7 separate regions of the Mus musculus genome follow, and all the other regions are reported to be linked to region 1. The links are microRNA targets in miRTarBase. Many come from high-throughput screens and were not tested one by one. Region 1 holds a microRNA gene; each other region holds the end of a gene's coding sequence.
The links. The annotated mature microRNA mmu-miR-26a-5p reads UUCAAGUAAUCCAGGAUAGGCU and lies in region 1 at 2,302-2,323, shown strand. An mRNA with a match to its seed (bases 2 to 7 or 8) in the 3' UTR can be bound and repressed. Matches are read on the target gene's strand: a 7mer-m8 pairs with bases 2 to 8, a 7mer-A1 pairs with bases 2 to 7 and ends in A, and an 8mer does both.

Region 1 (4,149 bases):
GTAGGTAAGCTGTCTTGTGTTTCTTAGAACAGAGCAGTTAGGCTGGCCGTCCTCCAATCCCAGAGTAGGAAACCAGGCCAGGCCACCAGGCAGGGCCTGAGGCCTGATGGAGCCGTGGGGACCCATCGCACCCACCACCATAACAGTTGAGGAGCAGATGCTGAAGTCCAGAGGGGAATGTCTACCCAGGATATTCGCCTGTGGCATCTGGCTTTCCGCCTGCTGTGGCTCTGTCCTCTGAGCATCCTGTGCCAAGCTGCCCACACTCTGAGTCCAAGGACAAATTGCTTTTCCAGTGGTAGTGACAACTGGCCAGCAGGCATTCATCTCTGCCCCCTGGTGGCCATCAGTGGTCCGTCCCCGTCCCCCCGTCCCCCATCCTGTCTGGGCTCCAGGCTGGAGTCTGAGCAGCCCCATTCTCTTGCCAGACTATGCCACCCTTTGCAGTTGAGGCAGGCAGGTGTCCAAGAGATTGGGCTAGATGCTGGAACTCCAGGACACTCAGGACAGGAAGAAATACTCCTTCCTACATGTTTATTTCAAGGACCCAAGGCCTCTGCCAGCATCCTTGTGAACTATTTCCTGCCATCGTCAAAACATTGGTCCAGGCAAGCTTCTTTCTTGCTACAATTTCCAATTTTCTCTTTCCTTTCATATGTATTAATCACAATTTCTTTTCTCTCTAGCCCATTAGTAATGCTGACTTCATTGTTCCTGTTGAAATCGACGGAACCATACACCAGGTAAGGAACCAGAGTTAGCCTGCAGTTCCAGAGAGCATTTTCTTGTAACCACACTCCCTGGGAACATCATTTTTTCAATTCTCACTTCAGTGGCCATTTTATTCTAACTTCAGGAAACAAACTTTGTATAATAAGTATAGTAAGCCAGGCATGGAGGCAGAGGCAGGCAGATCTCTTGAGTCTGAGGACAGCCTGGTCCACAAAGCGAGTCCTTGTACAGCCAGGGCTACACAGAGAAACCCTGTCTCAAAAGCTAAATAAAAATACTGTGAATGATTCTCTGCCTCATGCATGCATTTGCTTTTTACCGTGTTTATGAGGACCCTTTTCTGTTAATAAATATTAGGTATGATCTCTGATTTGATTTCAACTTTTAGGAGCCTTTGTGCAATCCCCTAGTTGTCCCCACCGCTGGCCGGGTTTGACATCTGGTCAACTTCATCATGCATTTGCTTTTGGCTTCTCCTAGCAACAGGAAAATGCCACCAGTCACCCACTGACGGAGCATTCTTGGGAAAAATGTCCACTTTGATGCCAACTGCTCCCGTGAGAGCTTCTCTGCCCATGTGGTTTTCTCCAGTGTCTTTTTTAGCAAATACTCAACCCAGAGCAAAGGGGAAGGGTGTGTTAAGACCAGCAGGGTGCTGTGCATAAATTGTCATCGTCAGCTGGCATCAATCTTCTTCCGGTTTTTGGGGTTTTCTGTTTTGGGGTTGTTTGTTTGTTTGTTTGTTTGGGGGAGTTGCTTCTTCTTTATTTTTTCTTCGTCATCAGCAAGCTCTTCTGGAAATGACTTCGTCTATGAATACATTAGAAACATGGTAGAAAAGCTCGCCTTGGAGGTTAAGGTAGATATAGTTTTGCCACATGTTTCTTAGGAGTGATGGGACAGACTGTCTCCCCCATCAAACTCAAGGCCTTAAGGGGAGAGTATCTGGCCTCATATCCCAGGAAGGGACAGACATTTCCTGGTTCCTGGGCCACACAGGATGTCATTTCTTAACGATGCCAATAAGGCTCCTTAACTCTTGAGTGCAGTTTAGAACAATCCAGGGCTGTGAAATCAGCTGTTTTAGCCATTCCGTTGCCCAGACAGAAGGTTATATATGACAATCATCAGGATAAGATTTCCTGACTCCTAAGCCAGGGCTCTTTCCTTAGACTTGGTTCCCCCTGTCTCCCTTACCCCCACCTAGCTCTCTATCCTGTCCTACAGGACATAGGACCTGGGAAGGTTTCAGGCACCTGGTCACTTACCATTCACAAAGCACCAACTGAATTAACTCCACCCCCGCCATGCAGTTAGGACCTCTGCGCTGGTTGTTGTGTCTAAAGTCGAAGAGTCCTTGAGGTGAGGCTCAGGAGGACTGCCCAAGAAAATAATTCTTCACACCACGTGGCCACAAGCACGTCCGGAGTGCAGGACCCACCCCGGCTTCCCTTGCCCCTTCTCTTTGGCAGTAGACACCCCGGGCATCAGGGCTGGGAGCAGAAACTCCAGAGAGAAGGAAGGTACAAAAGCTGGAGGACCGAGGCCCTGGCGAAGGCCGTGGCCTCGTTCAAGTAATCCAGGATAGGCTGTGCAGGTCCCAAGGGGCCTATTCTTGGTTACTTGCACGGGGACGCGGGCCTGGACGCCGGCATCTGGGCCCAGGAACCTCCTTTCTGCTAAAGGCGGCAACAACAGAGTTTCCCCCGTCCATCTCCAACCCTTTGCCTGTAGCCAAGCTTGCTGGCCAAGCAGTCCTCCCGGAGACTCAGGACCGGAGGCCACACCCAGTCACTGGCACCAGCAACAACGAGTGTTATGAGCAAAGCAGGTCCTGCAGCTGCTACAGCCACACAGCTCTGCCCTCAGCCTAGCCCAACACCCCAGCTCAGCAGGATCCTGGTGGCACCCAGGATAGACCACCTATATTCCTCTGGCCCCTCTCTCCACCCTCAGCTGCAGAGCCAGACCCCCAACCCACTCCTAAAGCTAGCCAGCCGCTTTCTCTCCAGGTCTTTGCCCTAGGAAGCGCCTTTTCCTGGCATGCTGCAAAGCAGTGTTTCCATCTAGGAAGTCTGTCCTGCAGTGTGTTTTCCTTGCATGGGGTGCAGTCTTGTGTCTCCTCTCCCTTTCCGCAGCCCCCTCCCCTGCTCTGTCTGCCCTTAGAGGCCCTGTGGCTTACTGCTACCTTTAGCTCTTTACCTTAACTGCTTCCTCCCTGAGCAGCCTCCAGGGCTTCTCTCACTGCCTATGGTTGGCTGTGGACACAGGCTTTGGCCCAACACAAACCCAAGTGTTGTGACGCTTCCGATCCTCACGTTCACACTTTGCTCGGGTTGGAGGCTCAGCTCTCTCTCTCTCTCAGCGTGTGAGCTCCTCTTTATTCAAGGTCAAGGCCAGATGTTGCTTTCTGAGACGCCCTCTGGAAGGGAGAATTATCTTGAATGAATACCCCACTGTGAGATTTCTTGTGTTCACTAATTTCTGTCAGTGTGTGCTCAAGACTGAGTGAGCTGAGCCGGCAAGGCCCACCACACGAGTCTCCAGAGGATTGGGGGCTCCAATTCAGCCTTGTAGCTGAACTGAGCACAGCGCTGAGACCTGGTAATTATGTTTTATTTTAAAGATGTAGCTAACTTCTAGTGGAATTTACTCAAGTTTTAATTGGTCCCTCCCTCTGCCCACTGCCTCTCCCTGGCTTTGCTTTCTCTCTTCCAGTTCCTACACATTCCTTTAGCCTCCAGAGACTGCAGCCTGGGTGTTAGGTGAAACCAGCTGCTTCGCAGGCCTGTCTGGTCTGATCAGAAGGATACACAGAGCCCAACTGTGGGAAGCAGCCCCTTACCCATGTGAAGTGCTTTCTGTACCCCTACACAAGCAGGGTGACCTCCATGGTGTCCACTAGAAAGTTTTCAAGTGCATTAACCCCAGGGGGCAGGGATGTTCAGAGTTGGAGGCCGCAGCTAGTCCTAGACTTCCAGAAGGACAGCACCTAGGCTGTGGCCTGTGGCCACATAGGGGCTGACTCAGCAAGTGCCAAGTGGATGCATGAGCAACTGCGACTGGACATGGCACAGCTGTGCTCTGCTTACTGGCTCCGAAGATACTCAAGAACCTTGACGACGTGGTCGGCTTTCCTTTCTCTCTACAAGGGTTGAGACGCAGAACCTAGTGCAAGCTTCAGTAAATCGTACATAGGCCTGGCAACAGGAGAAGGGCCCCTTGGCAGTTCTTCCAAGGCCCACGCTGTCCCTGGATGCTATGACTGACAGCTCTTGTCTCCTCCCACCGCAGGTGTATGTGCTGAAGCGACCTCACGTGGACGAGTTCCTCCAGAGGATGGGGCAGCTCTTTGAGTGTGTGCTCTTTACTGCCAGCTTGGCCAAGGTGCGTCCTTTTCGTCCTGCATCCTGTGTC
Region 2 (4,149 bases), not on the chromosome of region 1:
GGGCTAAGGGAGCAATGCCAAGCTTCAGTGCCTAGCAGGTATCTCCACAGGCCTCTAGACTGTGTCCGGCTTGTGGTGCTGTTAACAGGAAGCAGAGCATTACACAGGTCATCTGGCCGAAGCCCCAGTGAAGACAGATGGAGCCCTTTGCTTGCCCTGATGTGGTTAAACCCACTGCAGGTCTCATGCTTGGCTGTCCAATGAGATCTGAATCTACTTGTGAAGTTCTGAAACCTCAAATAGCCTATATTGGCATTGCACATGTACCACTGAAGGTGTAGGCTGTCCAATAAAACTAAGTTATCAGGATGGTGTCTGTATTGTGGTCTTAAACTGTGTGTCATGGCAGTGCCAAGTGTGGCACACTATCAATCCCTGCAAAAACAGGATCTCCTGTAGTTCCAGGGCAGCCAAAGCTACAGAAAGACACCTTTTTTAAAAAATATGTGGGAGGATAAAGGTCTGTTAAGATCTTTTCCAGACTTGCAGCATTCTCCATACCAGTTAGCTTTAAGCCAATAAGGAGCTTCCCTCCATCCATCCCCTGTATTGCCCCTTTCATCAGCTAGACACCATTGTGTCCCCACACCAACTATGCACAATTCTGTAGCTTAACCCTCTAGAACACAGCTCCTACTGCAGTGTCAGCTCATCCACAGGGAGCATGAGCATACCACACCACCCACAATCGCTTGTTGCTGCTGCCTAGGCTACTTAACACACGTAGGCTTCTGCCTAGAATGTATGCTTTGCTCACCTTGTGCTTGCATGTGGTGAGACTACGGGAGCTTGGGATTGTAGGGGGATCTCAAGTATTCCCTGACACTGCCTCTTCCACCCACTTTATCAAGCCCCTAACAGCTGGAATACTCAGTGGGGACAGTGCTACCCTCACTAGGATTGCTCGGCCCTCACCTGGGCTTGGCTTTTACCATGTCCAGGTCCTCCTCTGAGAACCAACCAACAGATTTGTAGCTTGTGGACAAGGTCAAGGCCCTGGATAGGCAGCTCCCATATGTGTTAGCCTAAAGGCGATGTTGCTTTTTGATGCTGAAAAGCAGGCAACCCAGTTTCTGAGAGGCCCTCTTTACCTTTTATAATGAAGGGGCTCAGGAGCTGCTCTTTGAATAGGGCCATGTCCCTTGTTTCCATGGGCATTCTGTTCCTGCTTTTCCCATTACCATGTCTAATTTTTAGGGACTTCTCTCTCCTTAACTCTTTAAACTGACCAATCCCTGTCATCCTCAGTAGGAACTGAGGAATAGGAACATACCATCACAGACTTTGTAACACCCCAGGATATTTCCTTTCAAGGGCTGTGCTGGCTGCAGCAGGCACCAGGAGAACAGTGACACTGTAAGCCCTGTAGCCTTATAGTTGTAGCTTTGACAGGAGTGCTCTAACTTTAGTGAAGTTCAGGACCAGGCACCATTGCCACAATTGTTTCAGTTGCTGATGAAGGGTAGGCTGCCCCAGCTATAGAGGTGCTTATGTACAGATTTCCTTGTGACTGGCTAACTCTTTACTGCACACAGGACTTTATTCTACGCTTGCAGTCAATGTCACCCCAACTTTAGACTTCTTCATATTTACTTTTTATAAAGCTAATCATTTCAGCAAAACAATTACTCTCAAGTTGTGGGAAGCTTTCATCCCACTATGCTTCCAAGCCAGCAAGCTCCACACCAGGATGACCACCACCCATAGGAAGGACTATCTGTTCCCTGTCCACCATAAGGTGTCCCAAGGGTCACCCCATGGAACCCTTATTTTCCAGTGTTGACAAAACTGAGTAAAGATGGCCAGAAAGACACCAGTGATATCTTGTACCCTCTGCTAGAGGATATCCCCTTAGCTTGACCATTTTTTAAGCAACCTACTCTTAATTCCCAGGAGGGTCCTCTAGGAATGATTCAACCAAGCTCCTAGACACCTATGTGCAGGACAGTTCCTTGAATCAGTATCTATCCCCTCCTGATTTTAACTTCTCCATTGCCCCTCCCAGGCCCCCATGGGGAGGTTGACCTGACTTGGACAAGGAGCCACTAGATTTTTCTTGAACCGGTGGCTTAGCCACAACTCCAAACCTCCCTGAAGAGAACCCTACTCAGAAGGTACTCCAGAAGAGCAGGTTCTGGCTATAACTGCTAGCCTGGACAATAGGGAACCACCATCTAACTGATTGAAGGGATGGTTAGACAGGCAGCCTTTATTTTAAACATTGTCCTGACCACATGATGAAAATTTTAACCCAGTAGGTCTAGTGGGCATGGCCAGTCCCAGCATAGCTGCTGCCTCCCCAGGAACCTGCACCTTACATGGAACATATACCTCACACACATCTGGAGATATAGTGAAATCTGTGTCCTTGGGATACCACACAACCTGTATATGGGTGTACTGAAACACACACCAGTAAGATCAGCTCTCTCCTTAGGAGATAAAAGCAGACTGAGAATGAGTTAATAAGGGAACTTAGGCTTCCCAGGCAGGTCTACTGAACCCTGTTCTGAGAGTGTATCAGAACCTAGTAGAAAACTCAGTGTGATGCCCACCTGTAATCCCCACAGATATAGGGAAGGAGGCGGAGATTAACTGGGGCTACAGAGAAATCTTGTCTCTTCCACACGTATATCCAACTCCACACAAAACAACTAGGGGCCATGCTGGTCTCAGATGTGGGTTCTTTCTCCAAGTGAGGTAAGCCTTGGCCATTCCCACCTTCTCCATGGGCAAGCTGGACAAAACAGCTAGCTGTCACAGGAACAACCCCCCCCCCACACACCCTTTCAAGTAGGATGACCTCAAATTCCACTTTGAACCAGGCTAACTAACAGGCCTAGGCATGGCCTCATGCCTCCCTGTCCTCACAAGGTTGGGAGGGTTCCAGACCCTGACATGTCTATCAGGCAGGGCTCTAAATCTCTGTCAGGGGATGGAGGTGTAGGGCATGTAGATTTGGATCGTTGGCGTGCCCCATGTTTGTCTCTGAATACCTACACTTTTCCAGACACAGAGAAAAGTTTGTCTTAGAGAAAACATAAAGCAAATAAAAGAATGAACAGACAAAGGCAGCTCAACCCCCAGTGTCAGTAGGATAGAAGCCAGCAGAGAATACTCTTCCAACACTAGGAGACGAACAGTCCAAGACTGAGGTTGGAGGTCCTTATGTGATGTCCCTCTGCCGTGGTGGCCGGTGAACATTCCGCACGACACACTTCACCATCCATTCGATGCCCTCTCGAACTCCTTTGCTGTGGAGACAGTATGTGTGAGACAGGGCTAATCTTGGCCCTGAAGACTCTGCAGAGTAAGACCTCACTCAACTCACCCTGTGAGGGCAGAGCAGGCCTGGGTCAGACAATCTCGCCGGCCAATCTTACAGGTACAGTCACTGAATGCAGTCTTGATGTCAGGAATGGAGAGGCAAGTCTGGCAGGGAAAGTGAGACTCTGAGGAACATTCCCACTTCTAGCTCCATATAGCTTGTTTATTCACTTGGGCTTTCTGGATGGCCATAGTCAATCACCCTAAAAATTCTGTAGGGGTGAGCCTACTCAGGGTTCCTGGATCCTCATAGAAACCAGTGGTCAACACACATGGTCAACAAGTCTACTGCTGATGGCTTTAGAAATCCACACATAGCCCAAGAAAACCTTCCTCACCACCTCCAAGACTAATCCCCAGAACATCTACCAGCAGGACACTGGGAACTAAGTCAGGAGCTCAAATGCCAAGTGAGGCAGGGCCCATGGCCCTAGGGGTGAGAAGCCTCGGTAGTATTCAATGGCTCCTCTGTCCCCCTGTTCATTTAAGAGAATACCCCTGTGTTCCTCAGCCAAGTACCAGAGACTTACTTACGTCCTCACGCAAATGAGTGGAGGACAGGTCATGTCAGATGAGAATGGGTAAATACATGGGGCCTACGGAAAGTAAAGCTTCCTTGGCCCTCCAGATACTGTTGGCCATCATGTCCTCTACAGCTCTTACTATACAGAGCCTCTTTAGTAAGACGGTAGGGACTTTGTATAGCCAGAAGTCCAAAGGGAAGTAGCACATCTAAGAGTTTGTCCATTGTCTTCACTTTTCCACCCCCACTTTAAAAACTGAAGATTTGCTTTTTTTTTATATATTATGTATATGTATCTG
Region 3 (4,149 bases), not on the chromosome of region 1:
TATCTTTTAATGAATCCAACTTCCCAGTGTTAAAAAATCAGGGAACCAAAAAAAGGTTTCCAAGCAGCCTTATTACCCAGTTGTATATTAATACAAGAAAATCACCTCAAAACAGCACACAAACAACACAACCCCCAGAGCACAATACAAAACAGTCCTCTAATAAATATAAATATTTAGTATATAAGAATGTGAAATTACATAAGCAAACGTTTTTAGTTAGCTAATGTTCACTTGCAAAGTTTACTTATTGCACATTGTATCAGTTTTTCCTAAGAATAAAACAGGCTTTGCTGTTGTCAGCCTTTACATCAATACATAGTCAAACTCTTTCTGAAACCCAACGTTTCCAGCATTTGAGCCAACCTGCTGTTACTGAGTGAGCACAGCACTAACATACAATTTACAACAATTCCCTAAAGCAGGAGGCAATTTGCACATCACTGAAGGCACACAATTTCCTACCATGGTAAATGTATTTATGTAGTTCTTATTTTATAAAGGCAAAGCTGTACAGAATAGAAAAAGTATACATTTTACTCATGAGACAAATTTATGATTAGATCCTATGGTGAACCCTACCTACTATTGACATCTGGAGTCACCACCCAGTTCAATGGAATGCATAGAGAACTCTGCTTACTACTTGATAAGGCAGTTGGAGACACTGACGCTTCACAGTAGACCAGTTAGTATCCCAGAGATCACACTTTAAATAAAGGGCAGTGGGCAAGATCAAGTCACTGGACTCACTTTCTATTCTTTCAAAAATGAAGGATTCTGGGGAATAGAGGTATTGGCTATTGCTGGAAATATCCCCAACCCCTAAAGCTATGTTATTAATTTCTGAAACACTTTAAGATTAGACAATTTGAATTAAACCCAGCAAGTCAAAATCCAAAAGGACAATTTTAGGGCTAGAAAGCATCTCAGAAGATCACTCATTCCAAGGCTTAGAGAATGTGTTCTATGGAGCACTTGAAAGTTGACAGAATATGACAGAATATGAATTTTAAAATGTTTTAAAGTTGTTTTGCTAGTGTGTCTCTCTGTGTGTAACATGCATGTGGGTGCCCTAGGTGGTCAGATGAGGGTGTTGGAGCCCTTGGAGAGATACAGGTGGTTGTAAACCACTAATGTGGGTGCTGGGGATTAAACTCTGGTCCTCTGCAAGAACAGTAAGTGCTCTTAACCACTGAGTTAGCTCTCTAGCCTAGCCATCCCAATTGTTTTTGAAACAGCATTTCAATGTAGCCCAGGCTATCCTTGAACTCACTCTGTGATGGAGGATGACCTGGGCCTTCTGGTCTTCCTGCTTCCTCCTCTCAAGTGCTGGGGTAGGAGGGGTGCACCAGCATCACTGTTTTTACGCAGTGCTGGGATGGAACCCAGGCTTTATATATATTAGGTAAGCACTCTACCAACTGAGTTACACCTCTAGCCCTGAATTGTTATTATTTTTACAAAACAGAGGTTTTTTCATTTACAAATTCTAATGTAACTGTATCACCAATACATTTTCACATTTTCATATACTGACTTAAACTCGATCACACTAAGGTTTGTGTAAGGAAACTTGTATTAATAATATGTAGCTTCTCTATAACGGGGTAGCATGTGTGTGTGTGCACTCAGTGTGAATAGGCTCTCAGAACTTACTTGAAATGCTAATGTTTGAAAACCACAAATACAATCTGAGTTTCTCAATAAGAACCTACAACAGAGTAAGACTTTCTCGGGGTTGTGAAACCATCTCAGCTAAGGTATGACAGACAACAGCACTGTGCTTGCCCGCATGCTCGGCAGACTGCTTAGCCATTTGGTGTCACTGCCCTGTCCTTACAGTGAATGGACTATTGATGTCTTCAGTATTTGGGGGCAGAATCAAGTCAGACCTTTTTTTCCCCCGAGAGGGATTTTATTTGAATATTCATTAAAATCTGAATCAAGTCAGATCTTTTTCTTTGAAAGGGATTTTATTTAAATATTCATTAAAATCTGAATCAAAAATCAATAAGCAGTAACTTCAATTGTGTACATCTATACTTAGGAAAACAGGGACAGTTGAAACTTGCCAAAAATCTGTGAGAAGACTTCTATGGAACGCTAACATTTCTTACAGGGGACTTATTTCATGCACTAGCACTTTTATAGGCTGCACTGTTAGCATTAACGTTCTTCCTCCATAAGCCACTGTGGCTGTCACTGAGGCCGCACTCCTGTCACGGTTCTCTCTCTAGATGCCTGAATAGTGCAGAGAAATGGGAAGAAAGCCAATCAAGGTCTGGAGTTTAGGGTTTTACAACTGCTTGGTGAGGAGGTTTACCTGATCGTCCTCTTCTTTTAATCTGAGAAATTTGAGGAAACCGAAGCCTCAGAAAGGCGTCTTTACCTAAAATAAACGCTGTCTGGCTCAGGACTGGATGCCTCTGTGGAATCTGGAAATATAAAATGTGTGTTTCTATAAAAGAAAAAAATCCTTCTGAAAACTCAAGCTTCATGGGCATTATGAAAAAATCCAACGGGCACCTATCCAGGTCCGGGGATGCCTTTCTAAAGCAGCCATGAAGATCCCTCCGGTACAGTCCATTTTCGAGACAAAGTTCCAACCAGACAGTCCTAATCCGTGTGCTGCATCATGGCAACATAAAGAATAAGTAGTTCCAGAACCCAAGGCCAAAAGTGACATAACATCAGGAAGCAATTGGGCCACAGTACTGAAGGATCCATAATGAACCACAAGGGGGCAGAGCACACACACCTCAGGTTCCAACTGAGACATTAGTTTCAGTCATTTATCTCAGATGGCTACAACTGTCAACACTCTAAAACTTAAACCTACTAAAAAGATGCCAGAACAGTCCCTCCCTCCCTGAAAAGCAGTAGTGTCAAGTATTGCTGCTATCTGTAGCAAAGGGCTCAAGAGCAACATAGAATAGGTGGACTGTGGGAAATATGGCTAAACAGTAGCAAACTGTAGCCCACCATACATGGAAGACATGGGAGTTTATTTAAGAACGGGACATACCAGAATAGCAAAAATAAGAGGGTGGGAAAACTGATATTTCTGTGTGTGCCACAATATCCCCCCCTTCTCCTCTACGACAACAGTGTATTTGTAGTTCAGAATAACAACAGAAAGTCTTCCCCAAGTCATGGCCTGTGGGGCTGGCCTGCCTCATCAGCCATGTTAAGAATATAGTTAGCCATGTCATCTTCAGTGGGTGCATCTGACACCACCCATGATTCATTTGCTCCAGTCATCTGTAGGCGACAAATGGGGCAGTTCCTGTGTCGATCACTCCTGTCAGGGAAGTCCAAGCAAAACAAGTTTTTCCTTTTTTTCTTTTTCTAAAAAATCAGGTTTTTTGAAAAGTACATGGCTTTAAAAATGCAAACAACATAGAAATGTGCAATGAAAAATTAATCTTTCTCTTCACTCCAACCTTTAATTCTCTCTTCCAGGATCAACTGGTTGCCTACGTATTTCACCAGGAATGACTGAAGTTGTCAATGTGTGGGAAACGAGCAAGTGAGTACGTTCTCGCTGACCTTGTACCCACGTCTTAGAAACCACTGTGTACCAGTGTATGTAAGCGTAGTCTTTCTTTTCTCTTCTCGGTGGCTTGCCATCCTCCTGCTCCAGCCTGCTCAGGGCTGGGACTGTGGCATGCTCCCATACACCTGCTGCAGAGTATCTAACTCATCTCTGGTAGAAAGATACCTAGTTCCTTCACCTTGTTTGCTACCACCAGCTAAAATCTTCAGTTCTTACTTCTGCACCCAAATAAGTTTTCCTCAATAAGAATTCCTTATGTGTCCTAAGGGAAGCTCCCTCTCACCAGTGGGAGAGTTAGGGTAAAATGTGCAACGTTTAAACATTTATTTTTAATTTAAGTGGAAACCACTGCACATTTAGCAGAAAGGTATTACTAATTATTATTCTGAGTAATTAAGGTCATTTTTTAAAGGTAGGGTCTCTAAGCAGCCCATAGAACTTGCTATATAGACCAGGCTGGCTTTGAACTCACAGAGCTCTGTCTGACTCTGCCTCTTCAAGTGCTGGAATTAAAGGTGTGTGCCACCACATTCAACAAGAGAAAAGAATTTTGACACGTTATTAAAATCAAAAGTCTGATAAAATGTCCT
Region 4 (4,017 bases), not on the chromosome of region 1:
ACTCCAGGACTCCACTATGTATCCACCCCAGCACAGTCATATGAACATAGATGTTCAATATTTTCTAAAGAAATCCCAGGGTCAGGGTTCAAGAGAATGATCAGGCCGAACGGGAGTTACAAGACAGCACTCAGTTCTGTACTGCAGTGACAGTGGCACATCACTGTTCAAGTATCCTGGTTTGTCTGGGTGTGGTGGCGCGGGTGTCAGGTTAGTAATGGGGAGGCTGTGGCAGAACAATCAAAAGTTCAAAGCCAGCATAAATTTCACCAGATTCTGTCTCATAGAAAGGGACAGCGAAATGCCTCATCACAGGGACCAGAGTTCAGACCTCAGCGCACACATCAGATCATAAAAATCTCTTAACTTCAGCACAGAGGGATGCAACAGCCTCTCCTGACTTTCTCCAGTGCCTGCACCTAAGTGCACAGACACACACACATACAAAATAGTTAAGGGTCTACAGATATAGCACAATAGTGAAACACTCGCATAGCACGTGAGGCTCTTGGTCTACTGTAGCACCAAACCCAAAGATGCTAACAAGAATTATCAGCTGCAAGAAGGAAAAACAGGACCTCCCCATGTCTCTCTATAAACCTAAAACTGCTCCAGGCGTGGTAACACCATGCCTGCATTCCATGCACTGGGCAGGGTGTGGCAGGATTGGGAGTTCAAAGCCAACCACAGCTAGTGAGTTAAACTATCTGGCAGGCTCTGACTGCTCTCCCAAGGGTCATGCATGAATTCAATTCTCAGCAACCACACGGTGGCTTACAAGCGTCTGTAATGGGATCTGAAGTCCTCGTGCGGTGGGTGTGTCCGAAGACAGTTACAGTGTATTTACTATATATAAAATAAATAAAACCTTTTAACCACTGACACCTGAAACAATGTCTCAACAGGGCATAAAAATAAAACATGGACTCCATGAACATGTGATATCTTGGATTAGTTTACTATGATATATAGGTATTACTATACCTAATAATTTTTATCCTGCGAAGATAATACAGATGTAAGATGAAAGCATTACATCTAGATGTTTGCTTGGGATACCAATGCCAGAGCAAGCAAAGGGAACCACAGGCAGATCAAGGAAGTTTTCTGAGAAAAACAAAAAACCCAAATGTGTGTAGCATAGGCAAAGTAAAACCAGGCACAGTGATATACATCTGTGATTCCAACACCTAAAAGCAGGATTGGTTGTTGAACATAGCATGTTTGCAGCCTGCCTAGACTATAGAGAGCCTGACTTAAGGGGCTGGAGAGCACAGAGGATTGGAACAAATAAAGCATACAGAGTGGCCAATGGTTTATAGAAGATTAGTGCTGGGAAACTGCACCTCAGAGCATACTTGCTAAAGTTTAGAATAAAATGACAAGTGAAGCCAGGTGCAATGGGGTGCCCGACAGTCCCTGCTATGAAGTCTGAGGCAGAGAACAGAAGATCATCTGAGCCTAGGAATCAAAGACCCTGTCTCTCAAAATGGGGAAGGTTCATTATCAATGATGCTCCACTCTAGGGGGCCTGGAGAATTGCCCCACCCTCTCTGGATCCTCACCTGACCCAGTGGGAACTGTTGTTTCCTGGGTGATACAATGAACCCACCCAGCTATCCCTGGATCAAACTGAGGCTTGCTTCCGGTGCTGAGCAAGCCACCACACCACCGGCACCGTGAAGTACTACTGGACTCAATCTGGCTGGGGGACACAGGCAACCTGCCCAGACAGACCTGAAGGCACACCCGGCTCCTGGAGGGACAGTGGCACCCCAGGATGAAATTGACACCACATAAATAATTCCAATTTTTATTTTCTTAAACTGATATGACACAGTGAAACACAAAAGGGGGAGACTCACAAAATTCATCTTAAAATTGACAGGCCTGAGCACTGCTTTCATGAGCAGGTTTGGCTCATACCACACACAGCCAGCCACACACACACACAGCCACCCAGGAGCCTTTCAGGAACCAGGTGGTGGGTCAGGAATCCCTGCACTAGCCTCCCTGGTGGCTCTGGGTTCCAGTTGGCCACAAAGCAATAAATACAACATGTTACATGCAAGGGAGGTCATAGGGTGACTAAGGAAGAGACTGGTCTTAGAGATCTGCTTTCTTGTACAACTCTTGTACAACCAAGCACAGTGGCAATATTTCAAGTATTGCAAAGAAAAACGTGTGTGTGTGTGTGTGTGTGTGGCCTATAACTCTGAAACCCCACATCAGCTTGTGGACACTCAGATACTTTCAAGTATGCATGAACAGAGCCGTGACAAAGGACTGGCAGGTCAGGGAGGCTGGGAAGGTATTAGCATGTGTCCACCCTGGAGCCTGGAAGACGAGCTTCAGCACAGATCCTGAAGGCCACCAAGCACAGGAGCCAGACTGACAGGAAAGCTCCACAGGGGACATGTTTGCATATGTTATTCTTCACCCACACCTCCACTGCACAGGGAGGACGGCACCTGGGCACTGCCTTTTCTGCCGCCCTTCCAGGGAAAGTTAATAGAGATAGCCAGCAGCACACTCGCTCTGGCACATGCTACAGCCTCAGCCACACAGCGGGCACCGTCTCCTACAAGGACAACATCCAGTGTGATACCTGGCCTGCCCTGCCTCCGCCCTTTCAATCCTTAAACATCTGAAGTTTCCTTTTATGAACAAAAACTGAGTTGGGAGGGTGGAGACACATCTTAGGAGTAAAGTGTGGAAGTTGAGGAGTTTTAACAAGCATGGGTGGTGCTTCACACAATGAACTGTCTGTCCCTAATGAACATTTAAACGTGAGGACTATCTCTCCCTCAGGAGGCAAGCCTGTTGCTTTCCTCCAAAGACCAGACACAGGAGGAGGTGAACACTGGGCTTTTTATACACAAAGATGTGGTCTGCATCTATACAGCGTCTTGGAGGACGAAAGCCAGGAACAGGAGGCAGGTTCCCAGCAGTCTGCACTGCTGGCTAGGTTCTCCAGTCTCTGTATGCATAAAGTGCTCCGGTGACTTACAAAGCTGGGTAAGTAGTCTCAGAGGGAGAAGTTCCTAGAGAGAACAGGGGGCCAGAAGACCATACCCTTTTTTCTTGGACAAGCAATGGGGCAAGTGAACTGTGAGGAAAAGCTTGCTTTGGCTTGGAGTCAGCAACGGTCTCAGGCCCTTGCCTGACACAGGGCTGCCATGGGCTCTTCAGGTGGCAGGTGCCACTTCTCGGCACCATACCTGCTTGCCAGGGAGCCAGCTAGGAAGAATATGTTCAGAAACTCCTGTCCCAGTGGGCAAGGGACCCCTGGCACTCTGATGTCTACCTGCCAGCAGAGACTGGCAGTCTAGGAAGCAAGAGTTGCACCAGTCTGCACAGGTCCACTGTGGAGCATCCCTGCTGGAGTTGGCTGGCAGCAGTCTCAGCACCATCGGATCTGATCAGTGTTGAGGACAGTCTGCCAGGTCTCAGACCCTACCCTGCAGGTTGGCAGCAGGTAGTCAGGCATAGACACCACTCAGCAGGGCCGAGAGTCTCCTCTCAATGCACAGCTTGCCTGTGGAGGAGAGAGCATGAGACAGGGAGGCCACACCTACCACCCCCACTTAAGCTCCGGAAAGGCACTCACATTTGGCAATGTTCTCAATGTCTGCCTGGTCCGTGAGAGTGTGCTGCAACCCCTCCAGCAATAGCAGGGCTTTGTGATATCTCGGTACACAGCCCTCTCGGTGCTGGAACATCTCATCAAGGGCAGCTGATTGTACCTACAGGCAACAGCAAAGCTGGGCAGGGCTGGGGCACGACAGGGGGCCTGACTGCTCAGCATACTGCGGATTTGCCCAACTTCACTTGTAGTTGTGTTGTGAACACAAAAGGTCTACGGAATTAGCTACAGATGCTCATCCACATGGCCTGCCTGCACAGTGGGCACTGTGTTGTCTGCTTGGTCTGTACACAACCCCTCCTCCAGGGGGAGCAAAGGGGAAATGCTTGCAGAGTGCTAAGCAACCACCCAGTGCCATTCCTACCACTGTG
Region 5 (4,149 bases), not on the chromosome of region 1:
GAGGTCTCAGTGCTTGGCCTGGCACGGCTCTGTCAGGACTTCTCTCACTAGGTTAATCCATAGGATTGCTATTCTAAGACCTAGTGTCTACAGTGATTAAATGTCACTCCAGAGGAAACCTTTCCACAAAGGAAGCTTTCATGACCCCATTTACCGAACATAATCCCTGTCCTTTATAAATAAGGGCAGTGCCAGCTAAACTCTGATTCGGCTTGCTTTTTGTGGTAACATTCCATTAAGCCTTAAATAATAAAACATTCAATTTTGGCCAATTTTTTACTTTTTACTACATTAGGAAAGAAAAATTAGGGATATTATCTAGAAAATAAATGCAACACTTTCTGCCTTTGTTCATAAAGAAATAAATGGCGCAACTAGAGGCTATCACCAGAACTTGGTATGGAGGACCAACTGATAGCTACCATTTTATTGTTATTATACTTTAAATAAAAGTCTCTCTTATGTATTTCTTCCTATAACATACTGTGTGTGTGTGAGTGAACTCAAGCGACCCACCTGCCTCTGCCTCCAGAGTGCTAGGACTAAAAGCACGCTCCAGCATTGCCCAGCTCTGACATAGTCTTAAACGTGTTCTCAGTGTACTTCGTTTTCTCAGAAAGTCTGGCAGTGAAACACAAGAGTGTGCCTGAGGGTTTGTACTTCATAAGAACCGTTCAGGTCTAGATTAAGACTGGCTTCCCATCTGGTGTATGTAACTAACTGCTGGTATCAGTTGTATTAGCTAATATTGCAGATGCTGAAGGACAGGCTCTGTTTCAATTCTGAGCTATAGTGTCCATGAGAATGTAAACATCCATCAAGGGAAAAGAGCTTACCATCAGTTAGTTGCCTAAAACTTTTTGTTTTGAATTTAGTAACATGTAAGAGAAAATGCCTACTATATTGATTTTCTTGATGATAGATAAGGCCACATGAATGTAGGCAAATGGTCAATAGTTTTATTTCGGCATTTACTAACGTCTTAAATATAATCACATATAAAACAAACATTTCAAAAGTGCAAAATATCAGCAAGGTTATCAGAGCTACTCATCGTCCCTTGCAGACAGTCTCCCACCAACTGTGCTGCCAGAATCACAGACAGAATCACAGACAGAATGCTGTCACCCTGGAGTTTAGAAACAGCCTTGGTCAGGAGATTGTGCATGATAACAGACGACGCAGTGCAGGTCCACACCCAGGTCCCTTGCCACCACACTGCCTTGTATAACACTCAGCGTGGTCACGTGTAAGTACCGGACTGCGGGAAGAAGCCTTTCTCAGTGCAGGGGTTTATCTAGCTCTCCAGGGCCAAGCTGCCCATCTTTGGTCACAAGAACGCACTCTTGGTTGTACTTTGGTTTACTCTTAAGTAGTAATGACTCTGCTAACAAGAGTAAACAAACCTCAAGACAGCAATTGACAAAACTTACTTTTTAGTATTTAATGAATATACTACTTAATTCTCAGGTATTCTTACTCAAGACATATTGTAGAAAAAATAAAGTATTCCATATACCTGGAACTCCTTAGTAGCTTGCTCATCCAGTATTACCCATGAGCAGGAAGGCAGGCTGGGCCTGACGTACCATGCTTGCCTCTCTAACGTCCAGGGCACAGTGCTTCCCTCCCTTTGCCTGTCTGTAGAGGGCACTGCCATCTGAGGGTTTCAGGGCATGTTATGTGCAGTGCCTCTGGATACCATGATAGGTTTACAAAACAAGGAAAAAAACCAAAACACAGCTCACCTCTCCTGCCACTCTATAGAGACCTGTGGAAATCAGAGGAGCTAAAGGGCAATCGTGAGGAGGACAAAGATGACGGCACATGCTAAGGAAGGGAACACTTAGTGTACAGTCACCCTTCCTCACGATCAATGTGCCTTGAGTTATCCAGATTCAGCTCCTCAGACCCTGTAGACAGGGTTTTCCTTCAGAAGGTAGCCTAGCTTGCATGCTCAAATCCATGACTGCCAACTGTAATAAACAATTTGATGGTACCTCAGAAAGCAGTGACGCAGCCGGGCGTGGTGGCGCACGCCTTTGATCCCAGCACTCGGGAGGCAGAGGCAGAGGCAGGCGGATTTCTGAGGCCAGCCTGGTCTACAGAGTGAGTTCCAGGACAACCAGGGCTACACAGAGAAACCCTGTGTCAAAAAAAAAAAAAAAAAAAAATGTGACATTTATGTCACATACTTCCTTTACTCAAGTGGAAGGAGCAGGTGACTTAAATCGGTGCTACTAAAAGACTGCATTTACAACATGAACAGCAGGGAAGGGCCATGTAATTTCAGGTTGACCTTCAAAATAAGTATTACCTAGTAATGTCCTCAACTTCACCGCTGGCTTGGAATACGGTGTAAAAGAGCAGGCACACAGTTAATACAACCTTCAGGGTTGCAGAAGCTGAAGCAGTTGTAAGGACCAGGACCAGGACCAGCACCAGTGGTTCTACAATCCACTCACGTAACAGTGTTCAGAGCAAACTGTGCTATTAGTAAGCTTCTGTCTGATCTTCATATAATCCAGGAAAGAAAAGCTGGCTCAAAAGCCAGCAGCTCTCCCAAATGCAGTGATGCTCAGCCCTCCAGCACAGAGAACACACAGAGGGACGGGACCCCTAAGTACCTCTACATCTTATACTCCCACCCGTAGTGTTGGTAAGGATAAGGAGTAACCCCCCCCAAGCCCCCTAAACAGATATTCATTCCCATGTAAGAAACAAGGAAGTGCTGCTGTTAAAGCATTGGGATATGTAAACGCCCTAGCCACAAAACCTGCTGAGCGTCCATACAGAACAGTGAGTGCCCCTCCGCTTTCCAGTAGTCTCCAAAGAGGGTTCTCTTGGGAAGATCCCATGGAGTAAGGCAGGCAGCATGCAGGACACAAGGTAGCTGAGAAGGAAGCTGCAGCAGCAAGCGTGTGGGTTTTCAGGACAGTCTCCCTCAGTGTCCATCTATGGGAGAGGGGGGGAAAAGGTCACCCAGGGGAACCAGCCACCAGAGAATGCCACTGTCTAATACAGACTTTCCAGGTTCCTGTCTGGAGGCTGGGTGTGGTAACTTGGGATCCCCAGCACAAGGTAAGATGTACACCAATCCTTTTCTGAGTGGGCTACTGGACACTTCCTGTGAATTTTAACCAGTGTCCTCGAAGTGAGTTTTTCTTGAGGTTCCAATGTTCCTTATAACGTGTAAACACTTCACTGCATTGAAAACTTACATTAAGCAGCCACAGATGGGTCATGTTTACTGTAAAGGCTGATCAAGGAAGACACCCTGGGTTTGGTAGATCTCTTTGAGAACCAGCAATACTGTATCTTCAGATTCCCTGTGTAGAGAAAAACTTACGTTGAGAAAAGACAAAACCATTTGACACCATATGCTTTTCATGTAATCTATACAAATACCTTAGCTTTTTATTAATTTTTACTACTGTAAAAATATGTGCCTTAGAGGTCCATTGCTAGTGGTTTGGAGGTGGTCTGGAAACAGGAAGAGTTAAGGGTCCTGGCACCTTCCCTCATAAAGGCGGTAAATGACTGCTTGAGGCAGGTCTCACTCTAACCCACGCTGTGCCTGCAACTTACTCTATGGCTTAGGCTGGTCTTGAATTCACAGAAATCTTCCAGCCTCAGCCTCTTGCCTCAGGACTACAAGCATAAACCCACTCTTAGCTCCCAGAGGCATTCTTGAAACAACAGGAGCAGCTGTCTGCTCATCACCTTCATTTTTAAACTTTATTTGCTTTTTAGAAAAGGCAATAGGATTGTATGACCCAGAATTTCCAATGTATCAGATGGGGGTTAGAGAGCGGCTAGACGGCTGGCTGAGCGAGAATGGGGTCTGAGTCTGGAACACAACACTCACATGAGTAGCCAGGCTGCTTAACCTGCTCGGATAGTTAACAGCACAGTGAGGGGCTGAGACTGGAGGATTGCTGAGACTTCCTGGCTAACAGCCTAGCTCAGGACTCTGTCTCAAAGGAATAAAGTAGAGAATGACAGAGCAGGATACTCAGTGCCCTCTGGTCACCTCACATGAGCACATACGTATTCATGCGCACACATATAACCCATACAGAGAGAAAAAAATATGTGTAATATGCATATTTTACATTTATAACCACTTCCTAGTTTAGAGTCCTTTTC
Region 6 (4,149 bases), not on the chromosome of region 1:
GGAGATGTGGCCTTGTTGGAGTAGGTGTGGCTTTGTTGGAGGAAGTGTCACTAGGAGGTGGGCTTTGAGGTCTCAAAAGCTCACACCAGTTGTCTTCCTAATGCCTGTTGATTAAAATGTAGAACTCTCAGCTTTTTCTCCAGCACCATGTCTGCCTACATGCTGCAGTGCTTCCCACCATGATAGGGGACTGAACCTCTGAACTGTAAGCCAGCCCCAACTAAGTGTTTTTCTTCATAAGAGTTGCCATTGTCATGGTGTCTCTTCACAGCAGTAAAACCCTAAGACAGAAGGGTTTGCTATCACCTAGAAGTGGGAGAGATGCAGGAGGACCCAAGTTTGGATCCTCTAGAACTGACATAAATGCCAAACGGCAGCACATGTCTGTACTCTAGCCCTGACGTTCACTGGCCAATCTGACTAGCCAAAGTAATAAGCTCCAAGTTCAGTGCTAGACCCTGGCACAAAACATAAGGTCAGGGCTGTTTCATTTAGCTTCATGATAACCACCTTTGCTCTGGGAAGTAGAGTACATCCTACCAGCCCTCCCCTGAATTTTTTTTTTAACTCAAAGTGATTTTGTTGCTTGTGTACACAAAAGAGACTGTGGACAACTCATATTTTCAATTGGGTGGGTACCACCCGCTTAGTCTTATAGTATCCAGCCAACCAGTGAATTCTGCTATCAGAATCAGGTGGAATTGAGCATCCTTATTCTGTTTCTCTCAAGGAGCTTTCGGACTGCAACTGCTTTTTTTTATCAAATGGGAAAGATCCTCAGGGGCATCAGAGGCAAGGCCTTAAGGATTCTCAAGGTTTTATTTCTAGTCATAAAACTGACCTGTGCCACACCATGAGCCCCTCAGGATCACACCTATCTGGGAGAGAGTCAGGCCTTTGTTGGCCAATTTGTAAATCTGTTCCTTCATGTCATCAGATGTCAATTTCAGCCACATGGCATGCAACAGGGGGCTGGAGAGATGACTTCATGGTCTAAGAGTACTTTCTGCCCTTGTAGAGGACCCAAGTTCAACTCCTAGCACCCATGAGGAAGGTGATTAAAGAAGTCACTGAACTTTGACCTTTTTTTTTTTTTTTTTTTACTAGAGTCTTTTTTTTTTTTTTAAGATTTATTTATTATATGTAAGTACACTGTAGCTGTCTTCAGACACACCAGAAGAGGGAGTCAGTTCTTGTTACAGATGGTTGTGAGCCACCATGTGGTTGCTGGGATTTGAACTCTGGACCTTTGGAAGAGCAGTCGGGTGCTCTTACCCACTGAGCCACCTCGCCAGCCCGAACTTTGACCTTTTAAGTACACGCACACGTGCTATGCAAACACATACCCATACTCCATCCCCAACACCCAAAATAAAAATAATCTAAGAGATGCTGTGTGTTCAGTGGGACATTTTCAGAGAAGACTAAGGTAAGATCTACCCTGATTGTGGATGGCACCATAGCATATACTCAGGGCTCAGATAATAAAAGGATTTGGAAACAAAAAAGCCAGCTGAGCATCAGCCTTCACCTTGCTTCCTGACCTTCCTTCCTGACCAGTGAAACAAACTGTTCTGGTCCTCCCGTGCCCCATCACCATCATGACCTGTACCCCTCTGACCACTATGACCTAACACGAATCCTTCCTTCCTTCCTGAAGCGGCGTCCGTCAGGCATTTTAGACAATCTGGTGTGAAAGTAGCAAGGCAGAGGGCATACAAACGGTATAATTGAAATGCTGAAGTGCATTTATCTTGTGGTATTTGTTTGCTGACCCCAACATGGCAGAGAGATCGAGTCTTTTCTGGTAGTCAGTTTCCATCAAGGTCCATCTATGAACTCCCTTGTAAAAATTCAGTTTTGAAAAGAACCCTGCTAAGTCATTGACATTTTCAAGGCTGGCTACGCCCATGCCTGGATCATTCTACCTCAGGGGCATGCCCATCTCCAGTATTGTCATCACCTGGGAAGTTAATCACAACTGCTTAATGTATTTATTCATTTATTTTTTTGTCATTCCTGGGTAGCATGGGGTTTCTCAGGCCAATTGGGAATAATGTCAGCCTACAGCCCACCTGTGTATGGCCCTTTCTAGAACTACATAGCAGGATTGTGGTCTTCACTGGCAATGTGGACAGGCACTACTGAAACTAGCACTTCAACCTTCTTCCAGTCAGCCTAATATGTAAAACCTGCAAGTTTCTAGAACAGTGGTTCTCAGCGCTGTGACTCCTTTGACAAACCTCTATTTCCAAAAAAAAAAAAAAAAAAATCTACATTATGATTTATAACTGTAGCAATATTAGTTATAAAGTAGTAACAAAAATAATTTTATGGTTTGAGTCACACAGGAGGAACTATATTGAAAGGTCACAGAATTAGAAAAGTTGAGACTCCTGTGCTGAGCGATTTACTCATGTTCTTCTGGACTGTCAAGTTTTGCCAGATATGAGACTTGAGACTGGGTATAACATTACATGTTTATCTTAGCCCTTAGAAGGCTGAGGAAGGGAGATCATGGGCTTAAGGCCAGCCTGGTCTACATAACAGGACAGTTTCCAACAATAATATACTGTGTATTTTAAAAACAGCTAGAAAAGTTCAACAAAGTAATTAAATATTTGAGGTAAGCTTATTAGCCCTATCAGATCATTTTGTAGTATACACATCATATCAAAAACACATTATAGTATAAACATACGTAATTATGTCACTTAAAAACTAGTGGGGCTGGCAAGATAGCTCAGTAGTAAAAGGCACCTGTGGCCCAGCCTGACAACCTTATTTTGATGGCTAGGACCTGATAGGACCAACACTGTGGAACTGAGTTGTTCTCTGAACTCCACACATTTACCATGTACACACACAAAAAGAAAACAATTATCCCAAGCTAGATTCACTAACACATACCTAATCTGATGGGACACTGAGGTGAAATCCGAAGGCTCCAGAGCACCTGCCACCTTTTTCTTGCTGTACCATGTCACCCTGAATCAGTATTTAGTCCCGAACATTTGTCAACACATTACACACTGAAGTCCCACATACACACACACTGAGCTAAAATTTATTTTTAAGAGGTAAAGAAAGTTTTATACAACCTTTATATAAAACAAATATTCCAGACTCAGAATTAAGCACTAAGTTTTCAATATTATAAAGCTGTTTATAACAGGAGTTTTAAGTAGTGGTAACATTTAACCCATGTAAAAATGGCAACAGAATTCAAATCATGACTTGGATCCTCAATGATTCAAGTACCATGGTTTGACTCAATAAGGGTTTGGTCAGTTTTAAGCTGAATTCCTTTGGACATAGTGTCCATAAGTCCTCATTACCGCTACCCATCAATTCACGACAGGATAGCTGGCCGCGGTGGCAAGTCCACAGTGGTTGTCCCGGTCTTTGGCTATTTTGATGTAGCCTTCCATACCCCATTCACTTCCCCAGCTGAAAGAGATCCAAGGAGATATGAGAGAATTAATAGTTTATACTTAAAAAATAGGAGTGCACTTACCTCTGAGGGTTCTAAGATCTAAACATAGAATATATAGAGGCACTCATTCCTGTGGGTCTTCAACTCATTCAACTGCATGGAAGCAGGAGGCAGACACTGCTACCCTCCTCTATCACGCTCTTACTTTTTTTGATATAGGGGTGGCTCACTGAACCTGGAGCTCACAGCCCCCTAGTGCCCAGAACTGGGGTTACAGTTGTGTTATGCAGCCCATATGTGAGTGGTAGGAATCCAAGCATATATAGGTCCTCATGACTGAGTGGCAAGTACCTTATCCACCGAGTCATTGCCCAAGCCCCTCACTTATTTTGAGACAGGGTTGTGTGTAACCAAGGTTAATGCCACCAATTTTCTAAAAGCATGACACTAAGGCCAGTGTTGGGATAACCATGCCAGGTTGTATGCCGTGCTGGGAATTGAACCCAGAGTTTTGTGCATTGTAGGCAAGCACTTTGCCAACTATGCTATAGACTTAGCTCCCTCTTTTAAGAGGAAAATGAGGCAAACTAGGGAGCTTAATAGAAGAGTATGTTTCCACTTCCCATTACATCTCAATGAAAGATAGTTGTGAAAATTAATCCTGACAGGCTTTAAAAGGTTCTGAGATATGACAACAAAATGCAGATAATGCA
Region 7 (4,149 bases), not on the chromosome of region 1:
AGGGAGCCTCCTGATCCAAAGAACAGCTGCCAGGAGAGCCCGAGTGCCCAGCCCAGTTGTGTCTTCAGTAGCCGCTGAGAAAGCCACCCCACGGGATCACCTTCCTCCTGTCAAGTGGGTGAAAGTGAAAGGGCCTTCCTGGTATTTCATAGCTTAGAAATGGCATCCTAGGGAGGGACTTCCTCAGGCCCTAATCAGAACCCGTCTCACTCTTAACTAATAGCCCAGGGTTTGGAGGTGGGAGGGCAGAGCCAAGGTCTGGAGAAAGGTGACTTTTTGTCTGGTTCCCCATTGTCTTCCAGCACCTAAGCGCTCTCTTTCCATGGCAACAACATTTTAGCCCCAGCAGATGTTCTCCTTAGAGAGCTGTAACTGTCTGAACAGCAGGACCAGGGCTGCCTCTTTTCGTGCCTGCTCCTGCCTTGCCCCCAGCCCTGCTTCCCACTGCTGCAGCCTTCACCCTCCACATCCCTGAGCTGGAAGTTACCAGGAGCTAGCAGAGACTTGTTGGGGAGCTGGTCTGCCGCCAGAGCCTGCTCCCTCTGCTTCCCTCCTCTGCCACCACCTGCCCCAAGGTTTGTGTTTTGTTTTGCAGACATTTTGAATTCACACCAGGTGTCCATTAAATCCCTGGGGGAAATCATTGGTGCTTCTGAGAGCTGACTGTCCTGAGTCTACCCAGCCTCTGCCAGGATTCTGTGGGTCTCCCTGGAATCGGGGACTGGTGTGTATGTGTGTGTGTGTGCACCCGCCATCTGACTTCCCTTCTCATCTAGCCATATGCCCTGAAGTGTGAAGACCTTGATGAGGTGTCCCAGCTCATTCCGTCTGCCTGTGCTACCCCAAGAGCCATTCATTCTTGAAGCTCCAGCATGGAGTTGCTTTCTGTCTTGCCTTTACTCATCTTTGCTAAGGGTAAAATCTTGTTTGTCAGGTGTCTTTCTTTAGTCTCCTAAACTGGCATAAACATTTGAGTCAAAAATAGTAAGCTTCCATTAAGTTAGAAGCCTGAGGCAGCTGAGCAAATTTTCCTCATCTTTGGATGCCGGGGCAGACTTGGGGAGGCTGGAAGGGCCCTTGCCTAGGTTTTTTGGTATTGCATGTAGAGTCAGTGAGCCATCACTCCAGCAAATAAAGGTTGTCATGGCTCAAGCTTGGGGTGACGGATACCTTCTCCTGGCTACTGCTTGCTGCCCTGTCCTGCCCTCTAAACTGTGGCATGGAAACCGAAAAGCAGCCCCTAGGCTGTGGGCTACAACCCAGGCAAAGTTACCTGGGTCAGAGATACAAATTCCTTGCTTTTCCGACTGCAGAGAAGAAATCTGCCCCTTTAAATGCATGTAACTTTATAAGAAGCCTAAACTTAAAATTTTGTTAGAAAAGGGTTGGTAAGGAAAATGGAGGATTGTCAAGAGCTGGTGTCACAGTTCCCAGAACCTGGCATTTTCCATCATAGCAAGTGGACATGAACCCATGGTTTCTTTAAATAAGTTTATTAGAGCCAAACTATTTAAATAACTTTATTTGATTCATCCTTTGGTAGATGAGAAAAATACATTACAAAATACATTATACAGAGGACAGCTCACAGTACACGTTACTAAAAACACAATCTACATGCCAGCCCTGGCTGGTGTTAAGTTCAGAAGGAAGCCTTACAGGCTATGAGATAGATTTCAGTTCTATGGAATGACTTATTCCCCTTGTATCCTCTGTGTCTCAACCTCACCATGTATTAGCACCCCTAACCTGGTGGGTGTAGGCAGAATTAGAGCAGCATCAAGTAGGACTGGTGAACTCTCCATCCCCCTAAAGCAGCAAGACATTCAAATCCCTAGAAGAGATGGGGAGTGGGGGAAGATGGCCAAACTCGAATGCCCATCTCAGAAGCATTAGCAAACATCCAGGCAACTGTTCCAGGGCTGGGTTTCCTAAGCTCCAGGACTTGGCTTGGCTGTCCCTTGCCTCTGTCACTTCAGTCTTCCTCCAGTCTGCAGGCAGGTGGTCCCACAGCAAGCTCAAAGAGGGAGATGCAGGCTCCATGTACTGCGTGCAGTCTCACAACAGCAGGTCCAACACTGGTAGCTGTGGCTCTGCAGACTTCTCCCCGGCTGTGCAGTTCCTGGAGCTGAGCCGAGGTCCCACTACACAATGCAACCACATTGAGCTACTGTTTCCAGTAGACCCACAACTTGGGAATGGCTAGAAAGAATCCAAAGTTCAAGTCTTTTCTTAGATAATCTAATAAAGCAGATGAGAGGTGAGAAGAGAGGACAGGAAGGCAGGGAACCAGTGAGTTACAGCCGCTCAGCAGGTTGCTTGGGATTAGAGGAAACCTCATGCATCCAGGAGCCAGGGCACCACCCCACTCAACTTAAAAGGAGTTCATGAAGCAGCTACTCAAGTCTCATCTTTTTCTTGGAAATTTCAAAAATGGAGATTAGTACAAAGAGGTACTAATAATCAGGATGTTTCTGGGCCTCTGCACTGTAGTTCAGCAAGCCAGACTGTTCCAAAGAGTTTAGGTACTGGTTGCTCCAGAGGCCTTCGGGAGAAATCTAGGGTCAGATCAGGCGAGTGCTTCCGCTTGGCCTTTCTCTTGTGCTAGCATCGAATTGCAGCCTCTCTGCAGCTTCTCCTTGCTACCAAAGCATGGTGGGCCTGGCACCCCTCCCCCCACCCAGCAGTCAGGGGATGTGGGAATAAAAATAAAGATGAGTCAAGACCAGCATCTTCAAATTAACAAACTGTAATTGTTTTCCCAAAGATACATTTTTTCATACACATCCATCATACACTGTAACCAAAAAAAGCAGTGTACATGAAATAAGAGAAAATAAATTAAAAACCCATAGCATAGGTAAGGAGGCTCTAGTCTGGAGCACAGCTGAGTTTCCAGCAATATAAGGAGGCTTGAGAGTTTCTTTATAAGAATGCCTGCTAGCAAGGGTTCCAGCGAGGTGGTTGGTCTGTAGTCAGTCTTGAGTACTTGAGACAGTTCAGTGTGTGTTGTGGGTTGTTGTTTTTCCTTAGCGTTTAGAATAGCCATCATTGTCCTGCAATAGGCAGAGCTATCACGTCCAGGAAAAATGAGGGGGGGAAACCAGAGGCAGCGTGAGATCCAAACACAGCATTCAAAGGTAATTGGTCCAGTGGTGCCTGGGGAGGAGGAAGGGTGAGACTCCAGGGCTAGCCATCTTCCTTTGGGGGTGTGTACCAGCCTGCACAAACAGACAGACAAACAAAACACAAACCAGCATAGTGAGGGGAGGCCCAGGCCAACTTCACCTGCCCCAATCAATCCCTGAGGACACCTCCATGTTCCAGGAAAGCATATGCTAGGAAGGCTACTGTGTAGGGGAGCGGAGGCGGCTTACCCGGAGGGTACTGTAAGGGAGGGAGAATGGTGAGCCCACCTAGGGCAGGAACTGGATGGGCTTTGCAGAGGGTAACGCAGAGGACAGTGCCCAGGCTACCAGAAACCCCACTACTGGTTACTTCTTGGGAAGAAGAGGGACAGTACTCCAGACTTCTGGAGAACTGGGCAGACAATGGACCAGGAGACAGTAAGGCTCAGAAACCACGAAGGCCTCTGCACTTGACTAGAGCGGGGCCTGGCCTGGCCTGGGGCCAGCCTCACCGTTTTTTTCATGGATCTGCACCAAGGACTTGTAGGACTGCTGTGCTCTCGTCAGGCTATACTGAGACTGGGGAGAGAAAACCATCAGATCAGGTCATGGCCATCTGCAACCTACTGTCCCTCACCTGCAGGCTGTCACCCAGGGGCCCAGGAGTCTCAGCTTCTAGAACCAACCATCTCTGCCTGGGAAGACCTTGAGGACACACCACACATGATATCTCTTCCCAGACCTGTGCCACCCCAACATCTGAGGATGCCCCTGGGGCCAATGCCCTCCCTCCATTTCAGGGGCCTTATCCTCTGACCCTAAAAGGCAGCTTTAGCTGGCTGGTGGCCTAAACTGTACTTGGCTCTCACAGTCCCAGGGTCCTTACTTTGTTGGCTCCAAACTGCACCCGTGCTTTCCCCTTCACCAGCGTGGCGCTGATCTGCATGATCACGGACTCTATGGAGTAGGCACTGCTCCAGCCCTGGGGCACGGCAGGGACAAAGCAGGAAGTCAGGATACA

Region 2: miRTarBase lists Arfrp1 as a target of mmu-miR-26a-5p. Seed matches in the 3' UTR shown: 8mer at 2,789-2,796.
Region 3: miRTarBase lists Rnf141 as a target of mmu-miR-26a-5p. The part of its 3' UTR that is shown has no 7-base or 8-base seed match.
Region 4: the mRNA of Ulk1 is a reported target of mmu-miR-26a-5p. Seed matches in the 3' UTR shown: 8mer at 2,253-2,260 and 8mer at 2,161-2,168.
Region 5: miRTarBase lists Ddhd2 as a target of mmu-miR-26a-5p. The part of its 3' UTR that is shown has no 7-base or 8-base seed match.
Region 6: miRTarBase lists Ctsl as a target of mmu-miR-26a-5p. Seed matches in the 3' UTR shown: 8mer at 3,253-3,260.
Region 7: the mRNA of Ube2q1 is a reported target of mmu-miR-26a-5p. Seed matches in the 3' UTR shown: 7mer-A1 at 2,220-2,226 and 7mer-m8 at 1,780-1,786.

Annotation. Positions count from the first base shown.
Region 1 is chr9:119,029,510-119,033,658 of GRCm38, forward strand. Mir26a-1 (microRNA 26a-1) reads left to right here and starts at 2,287; the gene lies at 2,287-2,376. It overlaps Ctdspl (CTD (carboxy-terminal domain, RNA polymerase II, polypeptide A) small phosphatase-like), which reads left to right. Exons shown (of 8, transcript NM_133710.3): 5 at 687-743; 6 at 4,027-4,119.
Region 2 is chr2:181,356,308-181,360,456 of GRCm38, forward strand. It overlaps Arfrp1 (ADP-ribosylation factor related protein 1), which reads right to left. Exons shown (of 8, transcript NM_029702.4): 7 at 3,332-3,432; 8 at 1,383-3,254. The coding sequence ends at 3,167. Rtel1 (regulator of telomere elongation helicase 1) reads left to right here. Exons shown (of 34, transcript NM_001001882.3): 34 at 1-309. Among named protein-coding and RNA genes, the nearest start is that of Arfrp1, 7.0 kb to the right of the region's middle.
Region 3 is chr7:110,813,547-110,817,695 of GRCm38, forward strand. It overlaps Rnf141 (ring finger protein 141), which reads right to left. Exons shown (of 6, transcript NM_025999.3): 6 at 2,989-3,304. The coding sequence ends at 3,154. Among named protein-coding and RNA genes, the nearest start is that of Rnf141, 29 kb to the right of the region's middle.
Region 4 is chr5:110,782,690-110,786,706 of GRCm38, forward strand. It overlaps Ulk1 (unc-51 like kinase 1), which reads right to left. Exons shown (of 28, transcript NM_009469.3): 27 at 3,611-3,746; 28 at 1,800-3,538. The coding sequence ends at 3,483. Among named protein-coding and RNA genes, the nearest start is that of Pus1, 4.1 kb to the left of the region's middle.
Region 5 is chr8:25,724,409-25,728,557 of GRCm38, forward strand. Ddhd2 (DDHD domain containing 2) reads right to left here. Exons shown (of 18, transcript NM_028102.1): 17 at 3,222-3,329; 18 at 916-2,955. The coding sequence ends at 3,248. Plpp5 (phospholipid phosphatase 5) reads left to right here. Exons shown (of 7, transcript NM_028000.1): 7 at 1-479. Among named protein-coding and RNA genes, the nearest start is that of Plpp5, 6.4 kb to the left of the region's middle.
Region 6 is chr13:64,360,751-64,364,899 of GRCm38, forward strand. It overlaps Ctsl (cathepsin L), which reads right to left. Exons shown (of 8, transcript NM_009984.4): 8 at 1,140-3,450. The coding sequence ends at 3,348. Among named protein-coding and RNA genes, the nearest start is that of Ctsl, 7.7 kb to the right of the region's middle.
Region 7 is chr3:89,781,329-89,785,477 of GRCm38, reverse strand. Ube2q1 (ubiquitin-conjugating enzyme E2Q family member 1) reads right to left here. Exons shown (of 13, transcript NM_027315.4): 11 at 4,015-4,110; 12 at 3,641-3,707; 13 at 1,481-3,221. The coding sequence ends at 3,190. Among named protein-coding and RNA genes, the nearest start is that of Ube2q1, 9.8 kb to the right of the region's middle.